2 linked regions of the Lepisosteus oculatus genome follow. The protein of the gene in region 2 purifies or fractionates together with the protein of the main gene of each other region. This does not show direct contact. Links are inferred from orthologs where the notes say so. Each region holds a gene or a part of one and is shown on either strand. Other genes may lie near its edges. The genes, in order: transducin-like enhancer protein 1 and en1a.

The links.
Region 1: the proteins of en1a (region 2) and transducin-like enhancer protein 1 purify together in Homo sapiens (affinity purification with western blotting; 4 studies listed by BioGRID and IntAct, with this or other methods). This does not show direct contact. The link is inferred for Lepisosteus oculatus from reciprocal best matches to the Homo sapiens genes EN1 and TLE1.

Annotation. Positions count from the first base shown.
Region 1 is NC_090698.1:60,292,555-60,308,690, reverse strand, and holds the start of transducin-like enhancer protein 1, read left to right. Parts: upstream 1-10,232; 5' UTR 10,233-10,867; exon of another isoform or gene 10,868-10,964; 5' UTR 10,965-11,023; coding exon 11,024-11,047; intron 11,048-11,570; coding exon 11,571-11,671; intron 11,672-12,980; coding exon 12,981-13,044; intron 13,045-13,236; coding exon 13,237-13,281; intron 13,282-16,136. UniProt on the Homo sapiens protein: Transcriptional corepressor that binds to a number of transcription factors. Inhibits NF-kappa-B-regulated gene expression. Inhibits the transcriptional activation mediated by FOXA2, and by CTNNB1 and TCF family members in Wnt signaling.
Region 2 is NC_090707.1:6,365,981-6,381,452, forward strand, and holds en1a (homeobox protein engrailed-1a), read right to left. Parts: upstream 8,212-15,472; 5' UTR 7,906-8,211; coding exon 7,395-7,905; intron 4,034-7,394; coding exon 3,714-4,033; 3' UTR 1,851-3,713; downstream 1-1,850. UniProt on the Homo sapiens protein: Required for proper formation of the apical ectodermal ridge and correct dorsal-ventral patterning in the limb.

The sequences.
Region 1 (16,136 bases), on a different chromosome or scaffold from region 2:
TACACTTGCTCTATTTTGTACTTGCAATACTTTTGGTTGCAATTTTGGTTATATTTTGTAGGGTTTTTTCTGTGATTTAAGGGGAAATAATTCTGACTTTACACTTGGTACAGGGGATTTTTATGTTTTTGATACTTCCACCATGTCAGGAAACGTAAGAATAAAAAGCACAATTTATAACTTAGAGCTGAACTGTGAAACAGATGCATAGCAGTTCATTTACTTTTTGAAGGTTTGCACATGTGTGTTTTTCAAAACATGAGGCAATGATTTTCCTAACTGGCTTTAAATGCTTTTGAGAAATTTTCAAGGTAGAAGACATTGAATCACACAGATTAAAAAAAAAAGATGTTGAAAAATAACCCACATACATCAATCTAAATTAATCCATTTTAAAGTTAATGAGATTAGATGAATACAGTGCTTTTAAGAACCTGAATGTTATAAAATACATCATGTATTATTTCCAAAAATCCAACACAGAATGTAGATTTTTATGTCTTTATTTATGTTTAATATATTATTATTTGTTTTGGCCTTGACAGCACAAGTATTGCAAAGAAAGGCGGCTACAGGATTTAATCAACAGTTTTAAAAGCATTTTATATACAATTGGTCACATATCTGTCCCCGGACCACAAATATTCATAAGTGCAACAAATCAATGAACTTGGTTGTTATAAAATGGTGTCTGAAGTCTGTGTGGTCTGTTGGTCATAACAAGGACCAGGTGGTTTCAGCTTTGATCTGCTGGTCTCAAATTCTTCACTGTGGTTGGGCTTGTGTGAATGTTTCTAAGTGGTTCAAATTAAGACTCAATTCAAATTGGACTTGTACTGTATCTCAAAAATACTCTGAAAAGATTTTTCAGACACTGTATTACTTTCAAGGAGAAAGGAAAAAAATAGAAAATAAAGTTGCCTAGTACTACATAATTGACTGCTAAATGCTTTGGTGTACCATAATACAGGTTTTCTGGAGATGTTCCGTGAAGTCATTATTTAAATAATGTATTGATCATGCTTTTGAAAGACTGGGGTTATATCAACATCTTCTATCACATTTGATTATTTGTATATTTCAGTTGTAAGTTAGAGAATACAATTGAATTAAATAGCTTCTTCCATAGAAGCATCTGTTTCCATAGTTTGAAATATTGCATTATTATAAAATGGTCATTCCTGTATACAGTACATTACTTTTCCTGCTTTGTTCTTGGTTCATGTCAGGCAAAAGATGTCCTTGAACAACCCCTGTGCTATTCAAAAGGTGTTTATACTTTTATGCTCACATATTATGTGCTTGATGAACTGATTCTCCAAGCTGCATACAGAGCACATACAGTAATTCTCCACTGACATTACAAAGCACAAATACAATCCCCTGTGAGCAGAAATTAAATAGCCATGTAGATTTTCTTTCAAAACTAGATAACACTTATTACTTATGCATGCTTTTATTAGCAAAAATGACCTTAATACTGGTTTGAGATGTTAAAATAAATTATTGTATTTTTTTATAATGTACTTAATATAGCATTGTCTAATTTTCAACAGGTTACCAAAATGTAATATCTTTAGTAATTTTGCAGAAACACAATTTATACTGCACCTCAAATAATTATGTATTAAAACATAGTAGTTTTTATTTTTTTTAATAATCTTTTACATAGACTATAAATCTCATTAAGTATTTCCTAGCTGTGTCATCAAGTAATTAGTAAATATTATTTTTTATGCAGTATATTTTATATTTTACCAGTGCGCCCAATTGTTTTGACAGAAAGAGAAGGAGTTTTGATCTTGTCATAACAGAAACCTTTTTTTTCTGTCAGAACATTTAATTTCCTCGTGACATTCCTATGTGCATCTCTCCACTTATATTGCCTCCATAGCACAAGATATGTAACTGAAGCTGCCAATTTTGTCTCCTCTATGATGCATGGTGGGAATTCTGATTGCATTTTTGCAGAGATCTTAAACCCATTTCTTTAGAACATAAATTCCAAACCTGCTTATACATTATATGCAAGACACATCCTTTGTTATTTCTGTCTACATTAGTGTTGGAACATTTAAAATAGTTTAATAAATCTATATTGACAGAAAAGCTTTTTGGATTTTTTGTTTTGCATGTATATTAAATAAGAATAACAACTTCTTTAAATGCTTTCTTTAAAGCATTACATTTTAATATTGCTACTTGTTGTATGTGCTGGCATAGAAGATATTAAGGCTACATTAGTAAATATGTCTATTTTTTAAAATCTTTAGGTTTTCTTGTAAGATACCAAGTTGTATTTCAGCCTCAATATAGAATTCCTTTTAACTATATCAGCCATTAGTTTTGAGCACTATTAGGTTGTGCCAAGCTGTTGGAAGAGATAAGTTCCATAAATGGTAGGTTCTTTAGTAACTTACATTATTTGACTTTTTAAAGAAAAAAAAGAGAAGTTAGAAGTTTTTTTTCAACAAAATCCCACCACTTCTGGATCAGTTCTGACAGAGAGTATGCAAAACCTGATTTGGGCTAAAGTCTGAAAGCCATGTTTCTATTAAAAAAAACAACACACCTAAGCCATTTGTTTAACCGCAAAGATTAGTTCAGAAGTGAATAGTATTTGAATAACAAATCCCGGTCATTAGTAAAATATAGCTCTCTAACAAAACAGGGACAACTGACCAGTGAATGCACCCAAAACAAAAGTAGAAGCTATGATCAATGTCAGAAAATAATCTTTCTGTTAGATTTTTGATAGATATACAGTATATTCAGTAATAAAAGTAATTTAACGCTGAAAAAGTCTCAAAGAATATGTAGCAGTAGATAAAATAACTTAAAAAAAATAAAGTTTTAAGTTGCTTAAAATGGCCAATGCATTGCAATTTTCAAAATGGGTAGGATTTTGTTTACACAGAGAAAATACATTTGAAGTACTTGAGTCATTGCACACATTTTGGGAACAAATAAAAATTAGAATAAACAATATTTGGATAGAGTACCTGTGTGCCCTTGAGAAATTACTACAGTCAACTGAAGTGTTAGAAGAAATGAAACAGATAATAAAGGGAGTGGCAAACACAGCAGCAGATCCGCTGCACATATAATTGTTGATAGGTGGGAACATGTTGAAAATTAAATGTAATGGTGACTATTGTAAAGTGATCCATGCAGTAAGTAGAAACATACACAATGAATACTGGATGAGTGAAGCTAAGTTACAGCAAGCTATGCATGTGACAGATTCCACTTATGGAAAATTCAGCTATGTCCTCATCAAAACAGAGACACAGAAAAACAATTAAAAAGCAAACAAATATCCTTGCTTGCATAGTACAATGTGTGCAATTTAAATCAGGTATTATTTAGGTTTACAATGCTTAGTAAGACTTCATCTTTAGATTGCTGCATTCAGTTTTAGTCACAATACCACAAAAAGGATATACTTTTAGAAGGAGTTTTAACAATAAGAACAAGAATGCAACAAGAATGACTTCTGGTGTCTGAGATTTTTTTTTATACAGACAGATTAAAGGAGCTGAATATTTCAAGCCTTGATTCAAGTATACAACATCCTGATGAGCACACGGGTCAAGCTAAAAGCTACTTCACGTTCAGGAAAAAAGCAAGACAATGTTATCAAAAGTGGCTATAAAAAAGGAATTTGTTTAGGATGGGGAGCTGCTGTTGGTGTCTGGAGAAGAAGCAGGAGCAGCTACAGCAGGTAGGTGAGCTCACCTCTCTGCAGGCATTAGCTGGATGAAATTTTAAATTCACTTAGCTACTAAAAGTCCACAAAAGCAAGATAAGTCAAATGACATGCTCTTGTTTCCAGCCTTACAACCTGTCCCTCCTAGAGCACATTTTAATTGTCAACTGTTTTTTGTTCTTCTCAAAATCAAACAATGATGCACACAATGTTAATCAAAGGAATGGAAGTGTAAGAACTGAAAAATGAAACAGCACATGCTCTTGTAAAAACAGAAAGTCTTTAAGTACAGTACACAGAATTTCAAATGCAAAATCCGAAATATTAGTAAATAATCTGGAATATGTGAGAAAGGAGGTAAAGTTATCATCTACAGAATGAGCAAACTTCAAATGGAATTGCTCATCAGACGTTCAATAAATACTACAAAGCCATTTAAAATCTGATAGAAAGTCACTGAAACAAAACATGCAAGGGAAAGGGTATGAAAAATGCCTAGAAATTACCAAGAAAAATTAATTTCTCTGTAAAGGTTTATTTTTATACATGAGAATAGTGGGTGATATCATTTTTCTCTGTGGAAGGATGATTATGCTGAATAAAAAGACACTGCTGTATAAGCAAAACAGGATTGAACATGACAGATTTTTGGTTGAAAATTACTAATGAAAAATAAATAATTAATTTTGTGAAGACATTCTTTACCACCTCTAGATAGGAAGGCACTCCAAAGCATTACATGTGAAACATTAGATAAATAGGATATCCTGGTATAAAGTTAATTTTCTGACTTCTAACTTAAAGTGTATATTTTTAGTAACACTACCTTACTGTATGTTGAGATTAAAATCTTGATTGAAAGTATCAGACACTTTATGGACAATGAAATAGGAGCAAAGAAAGTGATTTGGATGTGACTTTAATAAACACTTTCTAAAAACCTAAAAGATTTAATAACAAGAAGATAAAGAGATCAAAAAGGCAGAAGAGCCAAAGTGTAAAGATCCCACTTGGGTTTATCCGCCTTCTTGGTCATCCGAATGGAAGAAAATAGCTTATATCCTTTCTGATCCTTGGAAGCTGCTATCAGTTGTCCATGAAACAGACCTTCATAATAAATCCTTTACATGCCAGTGTCCTCCTAGGTTTAGAAATTTAAAGTTACCAAGGCTAAAGGAGTATCGACGTAGAGAGGAATCAAGGATAAATGATAGTCAGGTTAAAGGAAGCACAAGGACGGGCAAGTAATTAATAGGTGGACAGAGCTGTTAACATGCTAAAGGGTAATCTCAGATAGGAAGACTGAGCCAAAGCAGAGAAAAACAGGACTCTGGAGTGCTTCCTGGGTTGTTGTGGGTCTATATAAGGCTGAGAAAAAAAAATAATGGGAAAAGGGCGGTGGAGTGGAGGGGAAAAGATTAGGCAAAAACACAAGATTTGATTAAAACAGACCGGTTTCTGTGAATCTCTGCCAGATGGGAAATCATAATACATTTATTTAGCCTACATACAGTACATTATCAGCTGCAGTAGCAACCATCAAGTACAAGTCTGTGAACATTGTGCACAATGTTATATATGAGGAGTATTATATGTCATCAGGCTGCAAAAGCTAGTAAAAATGGCAGTTCTGACAACAATGAAGTATTTATGCATACTGGTATCTGATCCTTATGCTACTTCACCGCACAGGGTTAGAAGTCTGGGTTGTGTAGGTTAAATTGCAGATATAAACTGAAAATCGACCCTGCTCTTCGAAGGGATGAGGGCTTCTTTAAAGATCTGGCTTAAGAAAGACCTAGAGTCTGTTTATTTTACTCAAAAGAGACTAAACAGGTGGTTTGATTGAATTAACAGTGTCTTAAGAACATGGGGTGGAGTTATCCCATGCGTTACAATGAGTCTGAGCAGCTGTTAGGGGAATTTAGTTGCTGAGGGTGGAGGCTCATGTTTCTAAATAGAATCAAAAAGAATAAGTACAGAAGTACTTATGTGAATTGGTGGCTTTGCATGGTTGGGTGAAAATATTTAATTAGAAAATAACTAAATTTAGTAAATCAGTAAGATATACAATTTTGTCATTCTGAGTCTACATAACATTTGTGTATTTAGTGTTGCTGACAAACCTCAATTTCCTACAAATATATTTACGCATTCCTGAAGTTTGATAAATATTGTGTGACAATACTACTTCATTTACGTTATTTAAACATTCATACTTTCAAGTAACAGTTATGAATTCTAGCGAATTGGGTACCTTTATGAATCAATAAAGGCTGTGATAGTGATGCACATGAGAAATCAATAAATTTGCATGAACAGATTGTTTAATGATAACTGAAGACAGAAGAACATTGGAGGGTCCTGGCACGGTCTTCATCAAGCAGTGAATAAATAATAGCTGCAGTTGATAATGATGGAGATGATTATGATAACAGACACATACTGTACATTAAGAGAGTTACTTTACAAATGCAACACATATTTTCAGCACTTAGAGTGCCACACTATCCAATTAACCTGTCTATGTGTGAGAGTATGTCATTGTAATATGCTTATAGAAAATGGTAGCATTCATGTTCCCTTTTGTACACAGTGTGACAGCATGTGGTGAGCAATGTGTTTTTATTTTAGACATGCAATGTTGTTACATGAAGTCACTGGGGCATTCAGAGTCCATCAATCAATCATCACTAGACATCAGCAGTGCTACAAACTGAAAGAAAGCACCTGTGACCAGCCCAGGCTTGGTCAACCAGGTGTAATGACTCAAGTGAGACCACCTGAGAAACTGCTTCCAAAGAGGGCCAAATATGCTTTCTAACACAATTGGGTGTCAAAAGACTCATAAACCTGATTGCAGTCATCGGGCAGTTCAGAGCTGTAACATATTGTAGTGTCTCTACAACAGTACTGTCCAGACTCAAAATCTGCAACATTTGCAAGCAAGCTTCTGACAGATTTCAAACAATTCATGTGGAATGCATCACTTATTGCATTCAAATGCTTTATCCCCATTTAAATGGTCAGTGGTTGACATAAGGGTCATTATGTCTAACACATATACAGTATGCATAAATTTGGACATAGGCAGAGATATTGAGTACAGACTACACCCATCATCTTATTATTAATCTGGGAAGCAACTGCCAGATAAGCAGCATTAATTTGACCATGGTTAATGATGACATACGCATCTACCACTGCCTGTCCTGTCCCACAGGTGTTGGATTGTGGCTGCAGTGCAGTTGGTCAGTTCATGATATTGATCATGTTGCACATTTTATGATGAAAGAGTGCAGTATTATTTTGACACTGATATTGCTGTGGTAGAACGCAAGTGTCATGAAATTGTAAACATGAAGTTGTATAGTCAGGTTACAATGGACATCGAGAAGCTGACTACTAAACTCTGCATTAATATCTTCCCACACCATCTGTCCATGCTCAGGTGATGCTTTCTCTATCCAGCCCCACGCCCAAAATGGAAGTCAATGTCAATGTCTTCCTGTGCAGTTTCTGTTTGAAGTGTTGATGTCAGCATTATACTATTGAATTATTTATTCTGAAACAGTTTTGCTGCTGTGAAAAAAAAAATAAAGGGGAAAACAGAGATCACTTGCATTTGCGATATTTTGAGTAAGGATGCAAAAAATGTTGTTTTCAGTAATGAAAGGTGTAGAGTTAGAAGCAAATTGACAGTCTTAAGTGGATTGGCGAGTGATGTCTGAAAAGGGTTAATCCTAAATCTGTGTCCGATTTGCAGAGGAAAAATCACAAATGGTGTGGGGAGCCATTAATCCAGAATTTAGGAGTCAGCTTCTTGATGTCCATTGTAAACTGACTGCACAGCTTCTTATTCACAATTTCATGACACATGTGTTCTGCCACTGTAACAGCGATATCAGAGTCAAGATAATACTGCACTCTTTCAACATGATAGTGTACAAAATGATCAATATCGTGAGCTGACCAACTGCATTGGAGCAACAATACAACACCTGTGGGACAAGATTGGTAAATGCATATGTCATTATTAACCATGGCCAAATTAATGTTGCTTATTTGCCAGGTAATTCCCAGATTGAATATAAGAACATGGGTGTAGTCTGTATTCAATATACTGTATATGTCTATGTCCAACATTTTGCATATACAGTATGTGTTAGACATAATGGCACTGTCAATCATTGACCATTTAAATGGGGATACAGCATTTGAAGCCAATGAGTAATGCATTCTGTAAGAATTACGTGAACTCTGTCAGAAGCTTGTTTGCAAATGATGAAATGATATCACAACCAAATCCTTCTAGTCAATTAAAAATATAAAGAAATGCATTTAAAACAAATATTAGGAGACTCTTCTTTATACAAAGGGCTGTGGGAAAATGGAACAAGCTACCCAGCCATGTTGTTGAGGCTAATATCCCTCCTTTTTTAAAAAGACAGCTAGATGAGATTATCAGATAAATTAGTTACTAAATATCAAATAGGTAAGATCTTTGAATGGCCTCCTCTGACCCATCCTTATTCCTTATGCTCTTTTTGAATAGCAGCAGTCATTATTGTTTAGCTTCAAGATGAGTAGATGATCAGTCTAGCAATGATTAACGTTGCCATATGTAACTGAGACTTTTTGTAATTCTTCAGGACCAACAGGACAATAGTATTTCTTTATCATTTCCACTGATATAATTCTATTCCACAGGACGAAATTAGCAGGTTTTATTACTGATCACTTGATGAATCCAATATGTAAAGGAGTTTAAACAAATTACAACACCACATGGTTAAACGGCTCTTCATTATCTGTACTGAGTCATTGTTGTTCTTGCAGAGCTGTGCTGAATCTTTAAAACAAAGTTTAGGTTAAAATCCTCAGCCACAAAATATATAGGTGGCAATCAATAACTTCCAATGTTTCAGTCAACAAATTCATTACATTAACTAGAGGAATAAATAACAAGTTTCTGGTTAGCAGTGCAGTTGATGCAATGTTAAGAAGTTAATATGAGATATTCTTTAAATTACAAAACAGCTTGTGAGGGCATAAGTCTTACTGCAGTGTTGTCAAGGTGAGTTAGAAATCTGTCCATATACTTTGAATTCTAATGTGAAAGCAATAACCTGCTGTCTTCCATCAGTGTGATCTACAGTCACAAAGAGCATCTGGCATGATCTCTGACCCCACTACATCATGTCAGTTTTACAGGTCAGCTGTTCCTCTACTCCATCTACCTACTATGTTGTCATTTTCTACTTATTTTATTTTCGTTTCACTGCAAAGTATGACTTTGTTCAAGTACTGATCTATATGTAAGAAGCAGCACTTAAAAATGTATTTGAAGCTGAATAATGAGGAAACATAATTATTTTTGTACATTTCTTTTCATTAACTGCAGTTATGCTTATGGTGTGTTATTTGAAAAATTATACATTTTTACAGTTGATTTTGTAGCAAATTTAATTAAATATATAGATGGTCAGACATGCAGTTTTGTGAAAAATCTTCCTCTGAATACAAAACTCTTTTAGTTCTAAAGCAACTTTTAGGTCAGGATAACCTAAAAAATAATGCCTTACGGGTGACAAAAAATCTATTTTTGTATGCTTGTTTTATATGCATGTGCAGTAAAAAATAAAAACTTTTAAGGTTGTAGATTACCATGATCTGTTTTTTTTTTAAGATATAGTAAAATGTCTGGATGGTTGGACAGAACAGAGTTAAAAATCTGAAATAGAGATTACATAGAATACAAAAATTATAGGTCTGATATGTGTGATCAATTAATAGATTATTCACTGTTAAGCTATGGGCAAAGTCAACAAAAATACAGTAACTCCATTTCTAACACATGGGATTTTAGACTCAGAATTATCACATCCAATCAGCTTTTAAAGAACATATTTATTGAAGTGGGATGCCCATTTTCTGTAATGCTGTGTACCAGACGCTTAAAACAGTAAAAAAAATAATGAAAATTTGTAGGTGTGCAGATGATAGGTAGGCATCTTTAATAAAGCTTTATTTCTCAAGGTTGATTTTGTCTTTAGAAGTTACCTTTCCAGCTTCACACATATGCTAAGTTACCTTTCAAACCTGATGTTCTTAATTATTTTCTAGAACATTTTAGGTCTTTTTTTTTCCTTGAATGCAAAATCAACAAGGTGTAAACGAAATCGAAATCGCATTGTTTGTACAAGGAGAAAAAAAATCCGATTCTGTCTCTTTAAGGATTTCGCACTCGTCCCACGTTACTTTGACTGACATTTGAGGATTGTCACTCTCCCGCAGACCGACCACCTCATCCTTCATTCTTACATTTAGCACTCTCTCCTCTGCCATTGGTTGCCTTTACCGTATCTCAGCATAATCGACAAGCATGAACTCTCACGTATTGATTCTATTGGCGAGTTAGAGAGGAAACGTCATGACCCCACGTGTACATCTAACCTTGATTGGCTGCCGTGAGTTTTCAGAGGCAGGTCTAGATCTGGTTAGTTCAGGGAGTGTGAAACCGCGTGTTAATGTAAGCAGTGGGGAAGAGTGGGGTTGGGTGCTGTATTGTCATTCTTATTATTAAGATTTCCATTTTTATTGATACTTTTTATGTTTTAATATTCGGCTTTATTATTGAGCTATAGTTTAGGTGTTGTATTATCGAGTACTTTTTAGTTGTTTTTTTTAATATCAAGTGCATTTCCATGTTTTGCTAAAAAAAACATTTTCATTTTATCCTGGAACAGCACACGCGGGGGATACTTCATCAGCCATTTGGAGGGAGGTGTTATTTTTTTTTAAAATAATCATTATTTTTGAGACTTTTGCGACAAACGTTTCGGTTTGGTCTTTTTGTATGTGTCGCCTGTTCGCTTTGTTTTTGATCTTTCTGGATATCGCTTCGGGGAACCAGCGCTACGTTGTTTCATTGGGGGAAAGAAAAAACAGTTCCAGGGTGGACTTTATTTCGCTGTTTGTGAGCAAATGATTTTCTCATTTTTGGGGGGATTTTCGCTTTCTCTATTGGACTAACTCGAAAATCAACGAAGGTCCACTGTACAACACAAGTTAATTGCAGACCTGCGACGACTAGGAAGCGCTTGTTTTGTTCTGCGAAGGAGACGGTGGAGTGAAATAAAAGGACGGGGCACCGAGGTTTGGTTTGCTTTACGACCCCATTTCTTCGGGGATCCAGGATGAATTTATCCTAATTCAGAGTTTCCTGCTTGTGCTTCTCAATTTCTGCTGAAAGGGGTTAAAAGATAACCGAGAATTGAGGATTCCCGGAGGAGGCGCTTGGCTGAAGGAGCAATGTTTCCTCAAAGCAGACACCCTGTGAGTGTAACAGTACAAAGGAAATGGGGGAAAAAGGAAACTTCGCGGCTTTTGCTTTCCTGGCTGAATTCGTCGAGTTTTAATTTGTTCGTTTGTATGCAAAAAGTGAACGTTTTACAGTGCACTGAATGCTACGTTGTTATAATACGGGTTAATGCTATCCAGTCGCTCATGCGCTAACTCTTCAGTCGTTTTGATGCCAGAGTTTATTCGTTTCGTGGTTTTCCAGCTTTCCTTTTGTTTCTCATTTGATTAAGTCATAAATGCACAGCGCAGTCTTTTTTTTTTAAATGGGTTGCATATGATACGTTCTTGCCTTACTTAATTGGTAACAGCAATATCTTTGCAGCGTTTTATAGCTTTTTTCCTACACGACAGCCTAGGACTTGTCTGCCCCGCTTGTGATTTGTTTCAGTTTTTGTAGTGTCGTGTGCGTATAAAACTTCCTTTCAAAATTGTGAACTAAAATCGGCAACATAAAACCCGTGATTCTGCTGTCCTTATTTCATTTCTACTTTGACAGACGCCGCACCAGGCTCCTGGGCAGCCCTTTAAATTCACAATTCCCGAGTCTTTGGATCGGATAAAAGAAGAGTTTCAGTTTCTACAAGCCCAATATCACAGGTTAGTGCAATTTCCTATTTACATAACAGTAGCCAGCGCGAATATATCTCAATTCCGGACGAGTTATTTACATTTGACTGTTTTGTGTCCATTCTGCGGTAGGTAAAGTGTGGTAAGGTTGAAGAACCAGAGGGTGGCGTTTGTAGTCAGGTTAAATAACCACTTTCCTTCCGTCTGTGGACAGGACTTGTCTAAATGTCCTTGTGGTTTAGGGTGTGCATACACTCTACAGACATTTACATTGCATTTCAAAAGTTCTAAGGCCGATGTTTTTCATCCTTTATTAACTCTGATCCCGGCTTGTTTTCTTGGTGTCCATGAACAGTTAACTATCGTGTGTTTTGAAATGGTATTGTGAGGAATTTGGCTTAGGAGTGTAATGGCAGCTCCATATACTTTATGGAGCTTATGTGTGCAGTCTGGTACGTCAGCCTAACCACTTAAAAATGGAGTTTATCGAAACAATATGTAAGCAGTTAAGCATTTTATTTACTCAAAATTGCAGCAACACTTCAAATATAATCGCCCTTGTTTTTTTATATATGTCAAGTGATTTAGTTCTGCATTAGTGAACCAAAATGTTTTCCCTTTCAGTAATATTGAAATGGTAATCACTGTAACAGCCAGAATGGAGCATTACTTTGTTTGCCATCTTATTTTTTTTAAACACTTACCTGTATGAGTGGTCATGGAGTCATATTGAATATAGATGACATTACCTTTGGCTTAAAAGAACTCAGAGAAAACAATTTTCATTTACCCTGAACTCAATTTGTAAGACTGGATGTCTTAGGTGAAGGTGGAATGCTGCCACAGTATTTCTGAGACAATCTTATTATACACTACTTTAACATTTTGTTCTAGAAAGAAAATGAACTGAACAGAGATCCTGATGTAAATGTGTCAGTGATTGAATTTGAGGTCCACATGTATATAATTTACTTTAAAATGGTTTACCTATAGTGCATTAAAAACACCTTGTCATTATGGGAGCCACAGTCACCAACAGTGCATGTTTGATGTGAAATTACTGGAAAGTTAACAAGGATGACTTGGGATCTGAATTGCTCTTTATAGTAAATGCAATATGCCACTTTTTTTTTAAATTGAAGCTAATTGCATAATTGCTTGATAATTTGCAGTTCAGTACAGAACTTTCTTAGGCCCATGTTGATACTAAATATGCAAAATTCAGCACTTTTTCATTAAGGCAGGCTTGTTACAGTAATGTCAGTTCTTAATGCGATTTTTGTTAACTGTTTCCTATTATACATTTTAATTGAACATGTAATTTGACCTTTGTTTTTAGTCTCAAACTGGAATGTGAAAAACTTGCAAGTGAAAAGACAGAAATGCAGAGGCACTATGTAATGGTGAGTTACTATTACGCAGGCTTTTTGTGCAGATTGCCAATTTCTCCTTTTAAAATCAACACGTTTGAAAGTAATCTGTGATGTTACATGGTTGTTGACTTTTGTGCATGTGGAAATCTACGACATAAACAGATGTTTGAAAAAATGTGTGAGGTGTGCTCTGAAACTGACAAGATTAACATGTGTTCACAGTACTATGAAATGTCTTACGGGCTCAACATCGAAATGCATAAACAGGTAAGCTCCGTTTTCTTCTTTCACTTACAAAAGTTTTCCAAGTTTACATTAGAACAGGTGCTTGCCTTTTGAGTTTCATATCTTTGGACCAATTTAGTTTACATACTAGGGAGGATGGGGTTTGTAAAATGGGAAAGCAGCTGAAGAGATTGTCATCTAAATTACAAAAATGGCTAATGTTGAATGAGGATAAAAGGTCTTCAAAGTAAGTTTGAAAAACCTTCTTTTCTTGCATCATTATTCTTTTTGGCTTGACTGTTTTATAAATGTAGATTTTGACTCTTGATTTGCAATAGTGACTTCAAGAGTGTAAAAGCATGTAATTCATGTTGATGTTTCTTGCTTGCAACAGGACTCTAGTAAGTAAGGATATAGCCTGGAAGTGTCTTTTGCATTACAGGACTGCAGATTGGTTTAGATTGATGTGTAACATAGTTAGCTCAGGATGAAGGTGAAAAGAATGTGGTATTAACATAGAGGAAAGGGGAATGGAAGCTAAATGATGACTAAATCAGCCTGATATGGAATTGAGTAGGCATTGTCTGCCAAAGAATGAATTAAAGGCTGAGTGTAAGTACTCTGCTTGTATGCTGACATTCACTTTTTCATCAGGATCTTGGCAACAATGAGTCTTTAAGTAATCGATTGCTTCTTTTAGAAGATTATCATTAGATGAGGTTGCAGTGTTTCAAACGTAGAATGAAATTCTTGCTTGATGCATTTGTGCTGTCTCGAAGCAAACCCTTGTTTCATTAAATTAAAGGGCATGGCTGATGGGCTAAAGGAGAAGAAATTGATCATGGAAGTCTTCAGATTTTCACTGTGCTCAAAGAGTTTTACTAAGCTAATGTACTTTGAAATTCCCAGTACATTTCTGTCTTTTTCCATAGATATTCGTAGTCAATTCAAAGGTTGATAGCAGCACTGTCTTGACTGTTCATATTAAATGTCAGAAGATGAATAGATGCTGAAAAGGACTTAGTCCATGTCTGTCCTAATTGTTTCTAAAATCCAGTGGAGAGGAAAATTACAAAAATTGGAAGCAATTGTATTTAAGATGACAGGTTTTTTACATTAAAAGGTTTTGATGAAATGTCCTTATTTCTTTGCATATTTGCAATGAATTGTGGATAAAAATGCATGATCAGTTTTTTAATGCTATTATGGACATTTTTCACTGAACAAGGATAGAACTAATAGTTTTTTAGAATAACCAAGAACTGAAATCTTTACAGGAATGCCGTTTTATCTTCCTTTTTTCTAAGTGTGCTGTAATACTTTTTTTTTAAATGTAGTTACTGACGTCAAGTGAGTATTTGGAACCTCAACGGTTCTAAGAATAAAATGATAAAGTATTGAATATTCACGTTCTTTGGACTTGGATAATATCGGAGATGTCTCGTGTGAATGTACACTTTAGTGGTTTTTCATAACTGATAAGTGATGTTTTAGCGTAGAGGGGAAAAAATGCTTCAGGGTGGTGTATGTTTTGAAGTGCCTTGGCATCAGGGTTTAAGGTAATGTAAACCTACTTGGATTGTATATATTCTGGGGGAGACAGTGTCCAAGTTATCTGTAGAGGTTGATTGCTTGATCAACAACTGAAAAACAGACTGGTATGTGCAATAATAACACATTCTCTGAGCTGCACAATCTGAATAAATGTGGTCCAGCCTTTCTGACGGTGCAGACAGTGTCGCAGATCCTGTGGAGGCGTGCAGCATGAAGTAATCATAATTCTTATTAAAACTGGTGACGTCTGGGCCCAAGGGTGTAACCAGGCTCAAATTGATGCCTTTTCTCTGACTGATCACCAGTGCGTCCTAAGTGCTCATTATGTTGTAGAGAAGGCCTCTGCAGCTCTCATTACATTTGACAGGAATTCTCTCCAGAGGGAAACTGGGCATTAGCTAGGCTCCTGGCAGGCTGAAATTATTCTTTTTATTGCTTATAAGCAAACGCTAGCATTCATTGTAAAGGAAATGTCATTTTGACAATGTCTTTGTTATTAGGAAATGCTCTGCTGTGAAAGTCTTTTTTCCCCCCTGCCTTGTGCTCCAAGGCATGCTTGTCTCCAGGGCTAACTACAGACTCAGTCATTGTGAAGGCCTCCTGTGGGTCTTCTGTATTTTTTTAATTCAGCCATTGCTGCTCAGTCAAGGATGAGTATTTATATATATATAAACTTTCCCAATCAGCTGTCCAGCTCAAAGATGTGTATGCCAGCTTAACATTCCTGCTTTAAAAATGTAGGAAATGTGCTTTAATATGGGATGTATAGCATACACACTGAAAGCACTTTCAAACTGGACTCTAATTATGGAAATATAAAACCATTATCTTGAAGTATTTTACTCCTCCACGTTCATGGCATGTCCTATAATATTTTTAGTAATATTACTTCTGTTTCTGTCTGACACTTTCCCCTTACAAAAATGTATCATTAAAATGTATCCACTGATTTAAATAGGAAGACGTTATGAAAAAGTCGGCTCTATTGTTTTTAGGAGAAAATCGTTAAATGTCATTACCATACAGTGTTGTGTACTTTTAGATTCATGCTTGCACAGTCAAAATACAAGTATTATTTTCTTCCTTTCAAGATACATTGATGTTCTTAGGTAATCAACCAGATTTTCCAGTTTTTCTAGTTTTCTTTTATCTGCACACTCAACTGGCTTGACCATAGGCCTATTCAGCATGTTAGAGACTCGAATTCAAGATTTCCCATGGGGTTTTACCAACACTTGGAATCGGACCACAATAGGGGTTGTTTATGGGTCACTTATAATTTCCCCTCATTCTCATTCCCCACAATGTACTAGTTCAGTTGTTGTGTTAATGAGTGAGACAAT
Region 2 (15,472 bases):
CTCTAAATTATTGGTTCGGTAGCCTGTCTTTTGTGGCAACAGCAAGCTAATAATTCAACATAAACTCTGTCATGCAAAACCCGATCAGCAAGTTTCGCTCTAACTTCGGGCTGAATCAAGATGTCATTCCCAGATATATGGATCTTGAACATATATACGCACACTGGTTATAGATTTCAACGTCTGTTGCGTTATAGCCTATATTACAGCTATTCGAGCTTTCAAACAGACACGCTGTGGCTCATTTAGCACCAGCACGGTTTTTTTTTTTTTGTCTTCAAGCAATTTCACAACAACTCGTTTCGCCGTAGTTTTAACAATGAGATGCGGGCCCCGGGAAAGGTTAACAACTAAAGTGTTAAAAATCTTAAATCGTCAGTTTTGACGGCGATGCGTGACCTTTGACCCAGAGGGGTAGGTCTCCCTTTTAGGTCTGCTTTGATTCCGGGACAGAGGCACAAAAGAGCTCGCTGCCCCGACACAGGCCGTCGGGAAATATAGTCCAATGAGGTTTGCGTCATAGCCGTGCCAACGCGTGTCCCCGAGCAGAGAGAACGAGTCATTTAAGTCACGCAAGCCGGGGTCCGGACATAAACGTCGTGGAAGCGGCTTTCTGGCGTATTTTCTCTGGTTATTGCATTTCAGGAGCTGGGCGTTTTTAATATCCACCCGGCGTGTGAGACTCTCGGTTGAGCACAGACTCAAAGGGATTGGCGCAGGGAGTCCTATCTGGGTGTGCTCCTGGGAGAGAGGGAGGGAGGGAAGGAGGAGGTGTGAGAGGGACGGGGAGGGTAACAGTGAAGGCTCAGACTATACCCATAATTTACACCCTCGGAATTTCCTCACTTTTTTTCTTAACGTGGTTTTTTAAAAATGCCGTTTGATCTTGCTCTTGCTGACTATATTTTTGGCGTCCCTCCACGCTGTCTTCATAAATTTATCCTACAATCGTAACAAACGCTGAGGACATTAGAACATTAGAAAGTTCGCGCAGTATGGAAAAATGCCGCATGTAGTGATATTTTGATAACTCAATAAAAATAGTGATGCTAATTCAACTGTTCAATCATCAGAAATGTTTGGAGAGCTCCCAACACTGAAAGGGATAAACGGTTTACGCAATATGATCACAAAATGGGGGGGCGGGGGACGTCATGGAAAAAACAGTGATGTTTTAGCCTAGCGGCGCGGAACGCAGTTTGCATTTTGTATTTTGAAAAGGGAAATTTAATGTGGATCCACTAGGCCTACTCGGTCTAAAAAAAAGATTCAGGATTATGGCTTTGTGGGGGGGAAAAATCGATACAATTCAAAACGAAAATATACTATTATATTTTCTACCCTTATCCAAAGAACGTCAACAAGGCCTAACGTCGTGGAACATACGAGGCTACACACAATTGTGTATTAGTTTTCATGCAGAACTACATCACATAAGAATGCACATTTGGTAACCTTGCAAAGACTAGGCTGTAGACACGGGGAACGATCTCTCCTTCAGGCGCTGGTTTTACCTGTTAGAATATCGCCGATAAAAGTGCATCCCGGGGGATACTAAAGTCTTCAACAAACAATAATAAGTACAATTATTTATACGCAATGAATTAAAACATCAGAAAGCAAAAAATAGGTACTGAGGACATGAAACAGAGTCGACTTTAACGTGTACGGAGAGCACGAAACTGCCCGGAGTCTCCTCTACCGCCTGCAGTCGACCTCAACCCGCTACGAACCTGGAACTAGAAGGTTTCTCTACAGACCGCTTTCCAAACGTGGCATTTTATCGCTTTAACATATTTTATAGCATGACAAAACGTTGAATGACTAAAAAGGCATCGGAAGCACGAAACTTTATTTTGTCGTTTCATTTTGTGTCATAGAGAATCGCTAATACATTGCACGGGGCTAAGCAATTGATCTCCCTAAGCTTGCATCGTATCTACTAATGATTATTTAATGTCTTTACTTAGTGTTTAAACAGCTATTGGCTCCCTACTGCGTTTGCCGATTTTACTGTTCTTACTTTGCATCGATATGAGCATTAATCTCTGGACGCATTGCAAGACTAATAACGAATACCCTATTCCAGTAATTAATTAACAGTGTAAATAAGTAAATATCAAAATCGTATATCCAAAGACATTTCTATATAATGTGTTGAATGGATGCTGTACAGCACAGTATATAAATGTAGACTTCTGTACTGACAAAATACACTTACAAGGAACATTGTAAAAAAAAACACACAAAAATACAAACAGATAATACATAATGCAGGTCCGTTGCAAGCTTGGATATAAATTGAAATACAAGTCAGAAATACACACAGTGGTAACAAATGCCATTTAATAAACGAAAGTGTTCCATCATTTTGCCGCGACACAAACAGTGGATTCTGCTTTGTTTTTTTTCTTAAGTGATAGTCGGCCTTAGACTTACTGAGCGACCTTGAAGACACTCATTTGACCTCACAAGCTCTCCTTGTATCGATTCCTTCAACCAGAAACGCTAGACATTTGTGCTTGCAGCTAAACCACATTATCCTAGACACCACTAAATAACACCAATCCGCAGAACACGGGAGCCTACTCTTAAGGAAACTCTTCTTTGTTTACATCGTAGAGAGAGCTCCCCCATAGACCTGGAATAACTTTTGGTTCAATATACCTGAATGACAAAACAGATTGAAACGTAACATTTCCCCTTCACATTTATTACAGAGTTATATTAATTAAAATCGATGCGACGGAGGATTTAAAACGTGCATGTGATTTAAGCATTATCATAATTGTCTGCAAACCATGATATATATAGTCTGTGTACATGTATTGTACGTAATGTCTTAATTCATATACGGGGGAAAAACCTCACGTGAGCGTGATTATAGGAATCCTCTTGTAATCAATTAATCTCTCCTGAAGCCTCCCCCTGTTCACCCCTAACCCCTGCGAAAAAGGCTTGTTTAAGAAAGTGTAATAGGACGGAAAAACAACCCTCGTTCACATAGAACAGTTAAAAAAAAGTTTATTTTCCATTTTTCCTGCATTATCGAATCAAATCGATGGGCGCGTTTGGACATACTTTGACCTGGTATAAACTCCGACATTACAAGAACTGCCTTGTGCGCCCTCCCAGCTTCAAGATCTCCCGCAGACTTGAGGTGGCTCGGTTTAGTCTCAAGGTGTATTTAAAACAATAAACGTTAAGGAATAGTGATGAACTGCAGCCAAGAAAAAAAAAGGAATCGAGAGCACATTCTACACTTTATTTCAGACTACATATTTCTGAACATATTAAAATCTTTGGCTTGTAGCGACGGTTCAGGAGCGCAGTCTGTATAGAACTGTGAGTTAAGAAGAGTGACACAAAAACACGTAAGAACCCCTATTGAGTCAGACACGTACTAAAACAGTGAGCAACAACATCATAAAGAAAAAGATAAAATCTCCAGCAAGTAGGGATCGCTATAGACACATCCTTACCTGAAATCAAATATATACAACGTCTTATGGTGTTTGGCTATATATAGACTTTTTATATCGTTCGTTATTTATATAGTTTAGTCCATATACTATGAGATAGACATAGATCTGATTTAAATAGCACCTGTCCCACTCCATTCGCTGTGTTAATTTTTTTTTGTCTTCGAAAGCTTCGTTTCTGGCCCTCCAGCCAGCGCCCGGCAGTACATGGAAAAGAAAAGTGTGCTGGGATCATTCGCTGTCGTCTTTGTCTTCCTGAACTGTGGTGGTCGAGTGATTGTAAAGTCCCTGGGCCATGAGCTGCAGGGCCAGACCGTTCTTGAAGCCATTGGCTTTCTTGATCTTAGCCCTCTTGTTCTGGAACCAGATCTTGATCTGTGACTCGTTGAGGTTGAGTTCCTGGGCCAGAGACTGTCTCCTCTGCTCTGTGATGTACCGATTGGCTTGAAACTCCGCTTTAAGTCTTTGCAGCTGCTCGGCTGTAAAAGCGGTTCTAGGTCGCTTGTCTTCCTTCTCATTTTTCTTCTTTTTCAATTTTCGTGTCCTTGGGCCTAGTGTAGAAACAACAATAAAACGCATACGTAAATATCAGTAAGCCCTGGGTATCTGTTCCACAGGCTATAGATAGGAGATGACGGGATCTACGAATTCCGAGGTCGTGAATAAATCCATGTCATTTACCAACCCGATAATAATTTTGTCTGCAGTGGTAGGAAACGATATATGTTTTCTGCTAGGTGAGAGAATTTTGATGACGCGCCACGAAATCACTACATTACAATAAGTGATTAGATTATACCTTTGCGTTGCACGAGTAGTTTTTGGTTTTATGTGAAAGGGATTCCCAATGTTTTGCTCCAAGCTTCGGCAAACCTATTTCCCTAACAAAAGAATATTTATTACAGTTAGGTTGCGTGTTGAGAGTATATCCTGGCAAATTACGGCTAACAAAATATGACCGTTACAGCAGTTGCTGGGGTTAGTCTGAAATAAACTGTACACTAGTATGTACATTAAAATACATTTTGTTTCGCTCAGAACCGCTTATTTAAAAGCATAATATACAAGATAACGTTTTCATAATATACTAAATTTAAGTTTTAAAGAACGTTTCCGATCTGTTTCAACATTTTTCTGAATTTCAAAATGTGCACAGAAATATACATATACAATATGAAAAAAAAATATTTTTTAACATCCTGCGTTTTTGAAGACATTTCAAAAACATCCCAGAATTCCGGCCTAAACATACACTATTCCTGATACGGTAGGATTTTTAGAAGGATCGTTTACGAGCGATCTTCGTTGTCACTACATAGTTTAGTGCAATTTTCGGGGGGCATTTCAATATTACAATAATCATTTTGTTATTATTGATTTGGTTGTAAAGTTGTTTTTTGTCAGCGATCACTGTGTGCCGAGGTGTGAGGGTGTTCATCAAAAAGAAAAATAATTTATGACATTTAAAATATTTCAGACGTTCCTATAACGATATAATAATAGTTGGCATATTAATACTGTCTTAAATACGAAGATAAAGACCGCCATGTTTATTATGATCATACTAGGTCTGCCCGAGGAGAGAGCCACGAGTTTTGTATCTTTATGCGGGCGATCTATTAGACTATATTATGGTACTTTTGTCACGCCGAGAAAGACAAAAATGATCCATTCTCTCAACCATCCAACTACAGTGTAAGGCCCCACTAAACAAAGTATATTTCAAAACACAACCTCACATAACTAATTTTACATGCAAGGAATGCGGGCTAAAGATTTTAAGAGTAAGCCACGCCTTTTACAGTATTTGGAAAATCGTGAACACGCTGCAGTATTATTATCACATTTCCAGGAGTCCTCAGTGTTTATAAAACAGATAACAGCACAGGCCACTTTATCCCTAGTGGAAATCCAGTAGATATAGTGTTATAGGTAGGTATTTCCACGCCGAACGAAAAATGTAACACTTGCAGCGTTTTGCAGTTATTTTACACAAATAAATTGACACTTATTTTTGAGAGGCTAGAAAATTGCGCAATTTTCAGAAATGTGTACTATTTTTACTTGTTCCTTTTTCGAAAGCCGCAAGAGAACATGGTTGCTCCAGATGACTGCGGTTAGAGACCTAAGAGAAACCACTATAAAGTTTACTTCTACTTATAAAAGTACTCTTTCCAGTATTATGGATAATAATAATACGTTTTACATGCATTCTATATATTTCTATAATTCTATAACGCAAGAGGCTTTGTTCAAGTTCGTTTAATAAATGTCAACGAAACATAACAACGGATAGTGCACTCAACACAAGCAGTACAGCCCTAAATGAATGGCCCAATTTATCAGGGGAAGGTGTGAGTGTTTGCGTGTGAACTCCGGGGTCTGTAGTTAAATCTGATCGTTGTTGTAAAAGAATTAATGCAGAAGATTACCCCATCCAGGCCTAAAATCGATGCGCCCGAGAGTGAAATCAAGCCAAATGAACTGACAGAGCTTCTGTATAAGTGTACGGTGTAGTCTTGTCAATGTGTCATTTCTATTAAATTCACCGTAGGGTTCAGCAGTGCCAAGAGTAAACTAGAAATATCATAGCTCACAGGGAACGTTACACAGACCTAGTAGATCAGCAAATTCCAATATTGTATTTTAACTTCACTGAGCTTAAGAACAAGCAGTGTCGTTTCGGTGAACTGTTCGCACTGACAGCTTAATCAGTCTATCAATCAGCTCGGTCAATGCAACTTTCCATTCTCTGTGGAGAAGGACCTCCAAATTGATCACTTTCAGAAGTGGAGGTATAGCAGGCTGCTAGGATTGAGAGTACGCGCAGAACCCGTTTTAGAAAGCGGTATCCTAGCGCTGTCCTGTCCCGCGGGTGTACTGCAGTACCTCCGTGTTATGGGGAAAAAAAAAGAAAACATAATTTGCAGTGCAGGTCAAAAAAGTAAAGAAAAATATTTATATTATCACACTACAACCCTTTTTCTTCTTATTTTTTTCCTCTTGAAAAAATATCCATTGATCGATTTTGTAACGTCGTGAAACGTGAATCTTGCATAAACGTTCAAATGTAGCCGATTATCTCAAAGGCTCGTGAATGCAGTGTCGTTAAAGTTATTAATGCATTTCGTTATTATTATTTCCTTTTATGTTACTGGTGACTGTCTATCGTGTTTTATTTTTCCTGCACTCATGTTTATATATGGTTTCATAAAAGAAATTCTCATTAGCGCGCTTAGCCACACAAAGGCAGGCTACAGTAACGTGTTTGTAAAGGCAGTGCGATATACGGAATGCTCAATTAACTTCAGTGCCTAGTGTTTTTGTATCAGATGTGCCCGATTGCCTTGTTAGAATATTCATCGCCTAAAATGCATATTTTAAATTATTTTTTACACACAAAGGCTGATTTTCGTACTTGCCCAAGTTGAGAAGAGATCTTCACGTCCACCTACAATTTTACAGTTGCATGCGAAACGAAACAGCCACTGTTTTCTAAACCGGCAACAATTTACTGGTTCCAAAACACAAAATGTGCTCTTAAACTGCGGCCTTTAGGCCTCCAATTATTATTTTGTTTGAAAGGCCCTGCATTTAGCATACTGACAGACTGAGATTTAGTTATCCTAAAAGGACCAAGAGTTCTAGCATCTAAATTAATTTGCTGTGAACTGCGAGTCAACATTCAGCGGGTCTAACGGCCTTCGAAACTTTTTTTTTCCCTCGCTCGCCTCGCTATTCTGTCGCCCAGCTGAATGTGAATGTATGTATATCTAGTATTGTGACTGTGTGTACAAATATCGTGCACAGGCTGTGTTCAAGCGTGATCCATTTTCTGTTACTCTTTTTTTTTTCCCCGACGCAAGCAATATATATATATATTATTTCATAAAAAAGAAACTATTGCCTTACCAGATGATGGTCTGTCTGAATACCTTGTGCAATATACCCAGGCAGGCCATAGTAGCGGCTGAGATTCTTTAGTCGCCGCCGTTCCTCCATTATTCGCGCTCATAACCATAAGAGAGGGGTTATTCTCGCCGTATTTGGCCGTGTTAGTTCCATTTCCTTCGCCCGGCTTCGACGGGCTCTGTTTCGACGCCGGCGAGGGCGAGGAGGACGAGGAAGAGGTGCTGTCACTGCTGCAGTTTGAATCCTGGCACAGCGTGCTCGGGTGAGACGGCCTGATGACCAAAGGGTTCACGTTCTCCCTGCCGGAGGTCTGCGCTCGGTCCCTGTTCCCGAGCTCCTTCTTGCACCCAAAGTCCGGCCGCAGGATGTTGTCAATGAAAAAGTTGGTGGTTCGGTGAGCCTGCTGCGCTGCCGGGTGAGGCAGGATCGGCGGGGAGGGCAGATTCGGGGACAGCGAGACGCTCTCCCCTTCGCTAGAATCCCGGCTACTTGAATCCTTGTGCTCTTCCATATCTGGATCCAATTCGCTTCGCCTCCTCTTTCCGAACCCAACTCCACTTGTTGGCGAATATTTATTTGTATCCCGTTTCTTTAAAAAAAAAAAGCCTGGCAATATAGTCGGTCAATATTAAAAAAATACAATAAACACCTCTTTTTCTTTTTTTTTAAATGGAACCAACCTTCTCTAAATTCGCGGCATCCTACAAGTGTGTAGGATTTTAGCTCCAAGTGTCATAATCTGCCCGCCTGGCGAAGCTGACAACACATTGCGCGCCGGTTTGAAGTCCCTGCGTTTCTCTTATCTATGACAGTTCGATCTTTGCAAACTCTCCTAAAATCGCTCAGCCTCTCCACACTTTTTTTTTCCACACCAACCGGAAGCACGTGAGCCTGCACACACGTGCAATGAACCAATCGACGGGAGCGAGGCGCTCTGACACCAGCCCCGGTGCCCAATTGCCTCTTGCGATTCTTCGCAAATAAATAATAAATGGACTTTAGAAAACCAAGCAAGGGTTCACAGCGGTACTCTGTACATCCGTGCAGATGCTTATTGTATGTGCAGTGCCGACTACCGAGAATTTAAAATCAGCCCCAGTGCCGATGCTTAGTGTTCTTGTCATGCAGGTTCCTTAAGGTTTTCCAAAACTTTGTATTCTGGATTCAAAACCGCATGATTCTTATTATTTTTCATAGAAAATATGCCCAACAACACAAGCGCACGCGTCCCATAACCCATAATAACCAGGCAATTAAATGAAACACAAGACTCTTGCGGTCGTAGGTAAATTAGCATTATGCCGAAAGGTAAGTTGCAGGTAATACTAAAAGCGCACAAAAAGTTTTATTGCTGTATGTCCGGTTTTACAGCGACTTACATTGTGGAGTTGAGGTTGCAGCAGTTCTGACAATACAGGTGAAGCTAACTATATTCCTCAAATGTTTCTCGTGGAGAAAAAAAAAATCAACACGCGATAATTGCTTTTGATCACATTCTCGGTTTTTGCGTCCAGTGTTTAAAACACTTGGATTAGACCTTGTCAGGAAAACACAAAGGACAAGATTACAATTAGCTGCTTTTCGCTTTACTTAAAAAAAAAAGATTATGATAGTCAAAAGCAGTTAGAAACATTTTTACTTTATATCATTGACCACATCTTTTAATATTGGTATAGTTAACTTTTTTATTTATTAATAATTAACATAGCGGACTCCAACTATACATTCTACAGTATATGTTTCTGTCTGGAGCGACTTTCTTGAACAAGTCTGCGTTATTTCAAACTATGCTTCCAGACCCGCAATTGTAAGGGGCTTCATGTTTGTCACCTAGATAAAATTTGCTTTTAACTGAATACAACCTCTTGCAGACACCTAACGTGTGTTACCGGCCTCTACCCTTGGTGTACAAGACTTTGCAAAATAATTAAAAATACTCATAAAAAAATTAGGCAAAATTTACATTGAGAAACTTCTTTCTTTTTTATTTAAAAAAAAAAAACACAATTTGTGGCGTAAAGACTGATCGCTCGCGATGAGTTGTAGAGGCTGGAAAGCTGAATGTAAAATGTTCGCCGGCTTTTAAAACCTGCTTGACCCCGGACACGTGCGTGGCTTTTTCGACAAACTTCAAACCGAATATCCGAAACAACTCGGTGGTGTTTCGTTTTATAGAAATTGTGCGGCCGCTTTCGCTTATATTTCTTTAACGCAAGAAAGTTCCGAGGCAAACCTATGTCTATAACTTAAAAGGGCAACGAAACAAATGTAAAACTACAAACATCACCCAACAGTCTTCAGACACCCGGTACCTTCCAATCACTATGTGCACACATACAAATTCAAGAAATAAGTTTCTGCACGATATATACTCGTTTACTCGTCGTTTATGTAAAGAAACACGGGCCTAATGCATAACATCAGACGGTCCTGCATTAATAAGTTATCCCTGTAATTTTCTTTTACAAATAGCACTGTTATTTTAACAGAAATGATGAGGGAAATATTAAAGTAGTTATTTGCAACTCGTTTGAGTTTATTTATATTTAAGGTTCCAAAATTGAAATCTTTATCCCAAAAGCTAGTGTGGGTACTTAATTAAATTCTAATTAGGACACTATCAATATCCTATTTAGCCACGTAGCCATTGTGAGCTCCGGTCCCTTTCAGTCGGTAAATAGGGGCTCGCAGCCTTATCTTGCCTGCAAGAGACGCCTTGAGAAGGACTGCAAAAGATAATTTATAGGTTTTAATTACTCTTCATTCCGCCTGATCAGCTTGGCGTTCATCACAGGAGAGTGAATAAAATCTGGTCAAAAGCACTGTCACTATTCCCTGGCAAGACGCTTAATCAAAGTAAGCAGGGCCATATTACACGCTGCGAGCTTCTCAACGTAATTTCCAAGCTGCTGATAAAGCTGGTTGAATAATGCTGGAGCCTTTGGAGACACCATTTACAGAAATGACTTTATTGACGGCTTAACGTCGGTAATTCATTTTACCTTTCATGTACTGGAGCCTGGATTTGTTACAGTAATGGGATGATAAATGCACTAGCGGCCTATAGCTTGTATTATTGAATATAATACACACACCCTTTGCTAAATGTCTCGAAAATCGTTTAGAAATCGATGTAGCAACTGTTTTAATTTCATTATGGTCAGGTTGAAATTAATAATCTCAATTTTTATATCCTGTGCATGTTCATAAAGCCAACACAGGGAGCTAGACAATTCCAGACAACTGCACATTTCACACAGCAGCGGGGATTGTTTCATTTACAGAACAAAACACAAACAAAATAACGGGCTTCGTGCTATTTAATTGCAGGACTGAAATAGGTGGTGCAAAATGCAGGGCATCACTGTTCTTGTGTGTACAGTGTGTTCGTGTGTGTGGTGCCAGTCTGTGAGCATGCCTTTGTGTATGTACACAGACATACTACCGCTCAGCACTGGCCATAACCCGCAGTAAGAAGGAACATATAGCATAGGAAATGAAATCTGCGTACGCCTGTGCAGGTTACCCCGCGATTCAATTTGAAAACAAAGGCCGCCGTTATCTAAAAAAAAAATCCAAATGACGATCAAGGCTGTAGCGTGAATTTTCTTTCTTTGGCCTCCGTTTGAAGCAAACTCTCCGTTTATTTTTGAAGTTATATATAAACGTAGGCTTTGAAAAGCGCTGTTTTAAAGCATATTTTTTTTTTGAATACACGGGCTACGGGTTTATTTCTAATATTAATTTTTAAAAGAGCTTCCTCTGGAAACAACCCACGTTTGGAATTAAATGCAGCCTTTGGCTCCATGGTTATTATTATTATTTTTGTTTGTTTGTTTACAGCCTTCAAAAGAACGTATGCGTTAGCGACTTTACCTGTTCCGGGTGTTGCCTCTCGCTGAAACAGTAAATCCATGTGTATCGTGTGATAAGATCAGAGCAGAGTCCTTGCAGAAGGACATAAATGAGTTGTTTTAATACAATGGATTTCACCCTTCCTACTGGGACTGAGTGACCACAGGTTTTGTTTGAATTCAATGCGAATAGATTTCTGCTACAAGTGCACCATTATAATTATGAGCTGTAAGGTCAAACTATACATTCTGGGTCCCCAAAGCCTATAGACACAGGGAAATGTGCAGAGTATAGCACGTCATTGTACCTGACAGTCCTTTCAATAGACTAATTCAATTATCGCTAAGGGATTTTGCAGTCACTTGAAAGCTGTAACTCACAGGAGAAAGTATAAAATGTTTATTTTGTTCTATTCTGGTGTTTTAAAGCGAGAAAGTGCCCGAAAGCGGTTCGGAACGAAAACGATAAAGTATTACAATTGTGCAAAAAAAGTAGAAGTGACTTTGTGCGTGGCGTTGCGCGGGGCTCCGTTGCCCGTTACACAGAAATGACACGATCGCGAAGGAGGTTTTCAGATGTTTAAATCTTACAGTGACGGCAGCGATCAGTGGGGTCAAGAAGTACGGAAAATTCGAATTTCATTTTGCCGGCTACGTGAATTATTCCAGCAAAAATAACATTATTTCCCAAGGTATGTACTCGAACTTACCTACAACGTGTATTGTTGGCATCATTAAATGAGTGTCTGAAGTTGGTAATCTGTTTCCTATAGTTAAACGTGTTGGGTCTCACATGTACAAAGGACTGTTCGAGGGGTTAGAGTGTTAAATTATAACATATGCAGTAAGTTCACGCGTTGTGTCTTTGCATTCTTTTTACTTTCGCACCTGGGCAATATGATATATACGCACAATATTTTACAAAAAAGACAATTTTTTAAAACCTTTTTAATATTAACAGTTGAATGACACTCTATATATGTAATAGATCTATAAACTAATATCTTTCGAAATGAGGAGCAGTTTATTTTTTGTTTTTCGATTAACTGCGTTTTTTGCTCTTCATTACCCTCTTGTTAACTACACCTTTTTTGGGAGAATATTTAAATATAAAACGTTTTGTTATGTTATCCCGGTCAAAGTGACACACCTGCTTTTTGAGTTAAATTCAAAACGACATCAGGGCTTTAGATATGTGCGCTACACAGTCAACTTTTATTATCAGCTGAATTGTTCGTGTTAAACTGAAAAATGGATAGGCGACACATTAAAAATTCTTAACGAAATTAAAAATCTTAAGACTTGAAAAAAATGATTGCAAAAACTCTATATTTCACAAATCAGATTGAAACTTAAATATGCAGAATATAACTCAATAAAACAAGAATTGCGTTCTACATAAGCATTGGTTAACAAACTTCCAACATAGAAAACGAACATAAAATGGTAGAAATTCACGTGGCAGAAATATCAAAACAGCAAGACAAAATAAAAACCCATTTCCCCAGAACTCCGTTCTCAGCACAGTAACAACAGATGAAAATATTATATACACCCGCCCATCACCTTTCCCCAAGCACATGCATCTAAATGGTTTTTTTTTATATATATATAATAATATATTAGAATGAATGTATTACCCTAGCGAGTAGCGATATGGTATGAATCACATTGACACAAGATAGACAGAAACTGAGAATGTGGTCGTTTTATTATTTCAAATGTCTCTTGCGCACCAGACGTTCGTAGATAGACCTTGTTTACGATGGTAAATAATTCATTTTTTAAGAAAGTATGTCTCATATTTGAAAGTACAGTATGTAGTCCGTGCAGACTGAAAGCTGTCCAAGATCCATCTTGTTGAGGGGCATTTTAAGTGAAGCAACAAAACAATGATTTATAGAAATCTTTGGGGTTCCGGAGTTTGAAAAATTCGAATGCCCTGAGCACACAATCTGGTATTGAACAATAATCAAGAGAGAGCGTTTGCAAAGCGTTTTGAGCTACAGTATATTCATGCAAAACATAATAAACTATTATTTGTTTAATCTGACATGATTGTGGCTGTTTTCTAAGTGATACCCATGTTATAGAAGCCAAAGGTTAATAATAGTTTCTAGCATATTACAACTTAACAGACTGTGGTTTCGCATTTAAAAAACAAACGTGTGGCATTAGCCTATCACACTTTAACTTAAGAAAACGTACCCGAATTGTTCATTTCGTTAATAAACAGGAGAATGTTTAGGGAAACGGCGTGATATCATTCTGTAGTTTAATGATGCAATTTTGCTGCTTCCCAGCGGCGAGAGCTGGAACTGGGTCATCACTGCGACACAAATTCAAGTCACGCTCACTTTCGATAAAAGGGTTTCCTCTCCAAATTGTCATGCAAAAGACGCACGCATGGGGTCTTCCGGCAAGACGAGAAAGTCCAGTGGAACAGACACACTGAACCGCAGAGCAACGTATAGATCTCGTATATCTATATAATGACTTAAGTATTTTATCGGCAAAACGAGTGTGCACATATATATGTGATTTTTATATTATCACTGATGCATTTACAGTTTCCCGGAAAGTTTTAATTAAAAGCAACACAGAAGTGTACCTGTGTTACTGCACGGTCTAGTTCTCGACCCGCGAGCAAAGCTCTCCTGTTCTTGGCGTCGGTGTCTGCCCGTTGTTTTTATAAAGCTTATTCTGAGCCCATCCTTTTAGTGAGTAATGGTTTGAAGAAATAGACCCGACATTTTTCAGATTCTTATTGAAAATTAAAAGAACTGAGACGTTATTAGTACCCTTACAACATCAGTCGTAATTCTTCTATAAAGATTTTTACGTCCGAATAACGCAGTCATGATCGAAACGGTTCGCTTCTGCATTTCTCTGAATGTTACTGTTCAGTGTAACATAACAAGAAGACAGACCATTGCAGAATGACCTTGCATAATTTCCACATCAAAGAGCCCTGGAAAAGCCTCATTTACAGAACATACGCAATATCTGAAGCCTTACCCCATTTCTGTCTGAAATACGCCGTACCCAAAACATATATAGAGAGAGGTAACTTGATTTGATTAAAATGCACAAACAAGGCTTTTTTTCTAATGAACAAACTATTTGCTTCTAATTAAAAACAATAAATTTGGCTTCTTGACAACCTTTTGTTATAATTACTGTATATATACTGTATATATGTGTGTATGCATTTCAATGATTAAACTGCACATTTTAGCAAAATTAAAAATGTATTGTCTTTTTACTGGACAGACGAACTTTGAGTCTAAAAAAGGGGTGCAAGAGTATTAACTTAAATAGCATCTTGTATTTTATAAAATAGAATAAATCATTTTTATCTTAATGTCAGGATCCTCTTTAGTAGCATAAGTCTGAGTTATAATTACCTTTATATTTACTTCTCAGTACACAAGATTACATTTTTATTAATTTCTTAAATGATGTGTTTAGGAAGTTTTTTTATGAATTTTGTATTCCGTGTTACTTGTGACCCAAACGTTCTGTCTTAGAACCGAACTGAAATATATATATATATTATACAAGACAGCTTCTAGTAATTTAATTACTTTAAAGATTAATTTAAATTATTTTAAGTTAAACAAGATGCAAGATTAATCTGAAAATGATTGCATGTACATACAGACAACGCTTCTTACTTGATACACCAAAACAGCTCAGGTTTTCAGTTCATGCAGATATTGCATTTGCTTTTTAAATAATAGATCAAATACAAAACGCTCGTTAACATTAGAAGTTCTTTCATAACATCTCATTGATCAATGAGACAAAAATATAAATTACACCATAACGTGACGATTTACTACAGTATTAAGACTTATAAGAAAAAGGAAGCATGAATTTAAACACAAGCATCAGTTGGTACTTTTTAATTCGATTAATTGGGCTATTAATTCCGAGACTTGTGCAGGCTCCACTGCCTTTACTAAAAAATTGATTGCGGTGATTTTCTCTGATGCAGAGATCGGTTTCCTTATACACCGATCTGGTGTGTGTTACAGCAAAGTTTATATAAAATAAACTTCATTCTAAAATCGGATTTTCAGAAGCAAAATGAAAATGAAAAATTCTAATTAGGTTGTTAAAGAATTCTGTTCAATTTCAGTTTTATGAAATAAATCAACATCCCATATAATCCTGTAAGCTTCCTTTTCAATAGTTTTCAATAGTCTGTTTCTGAGAAGC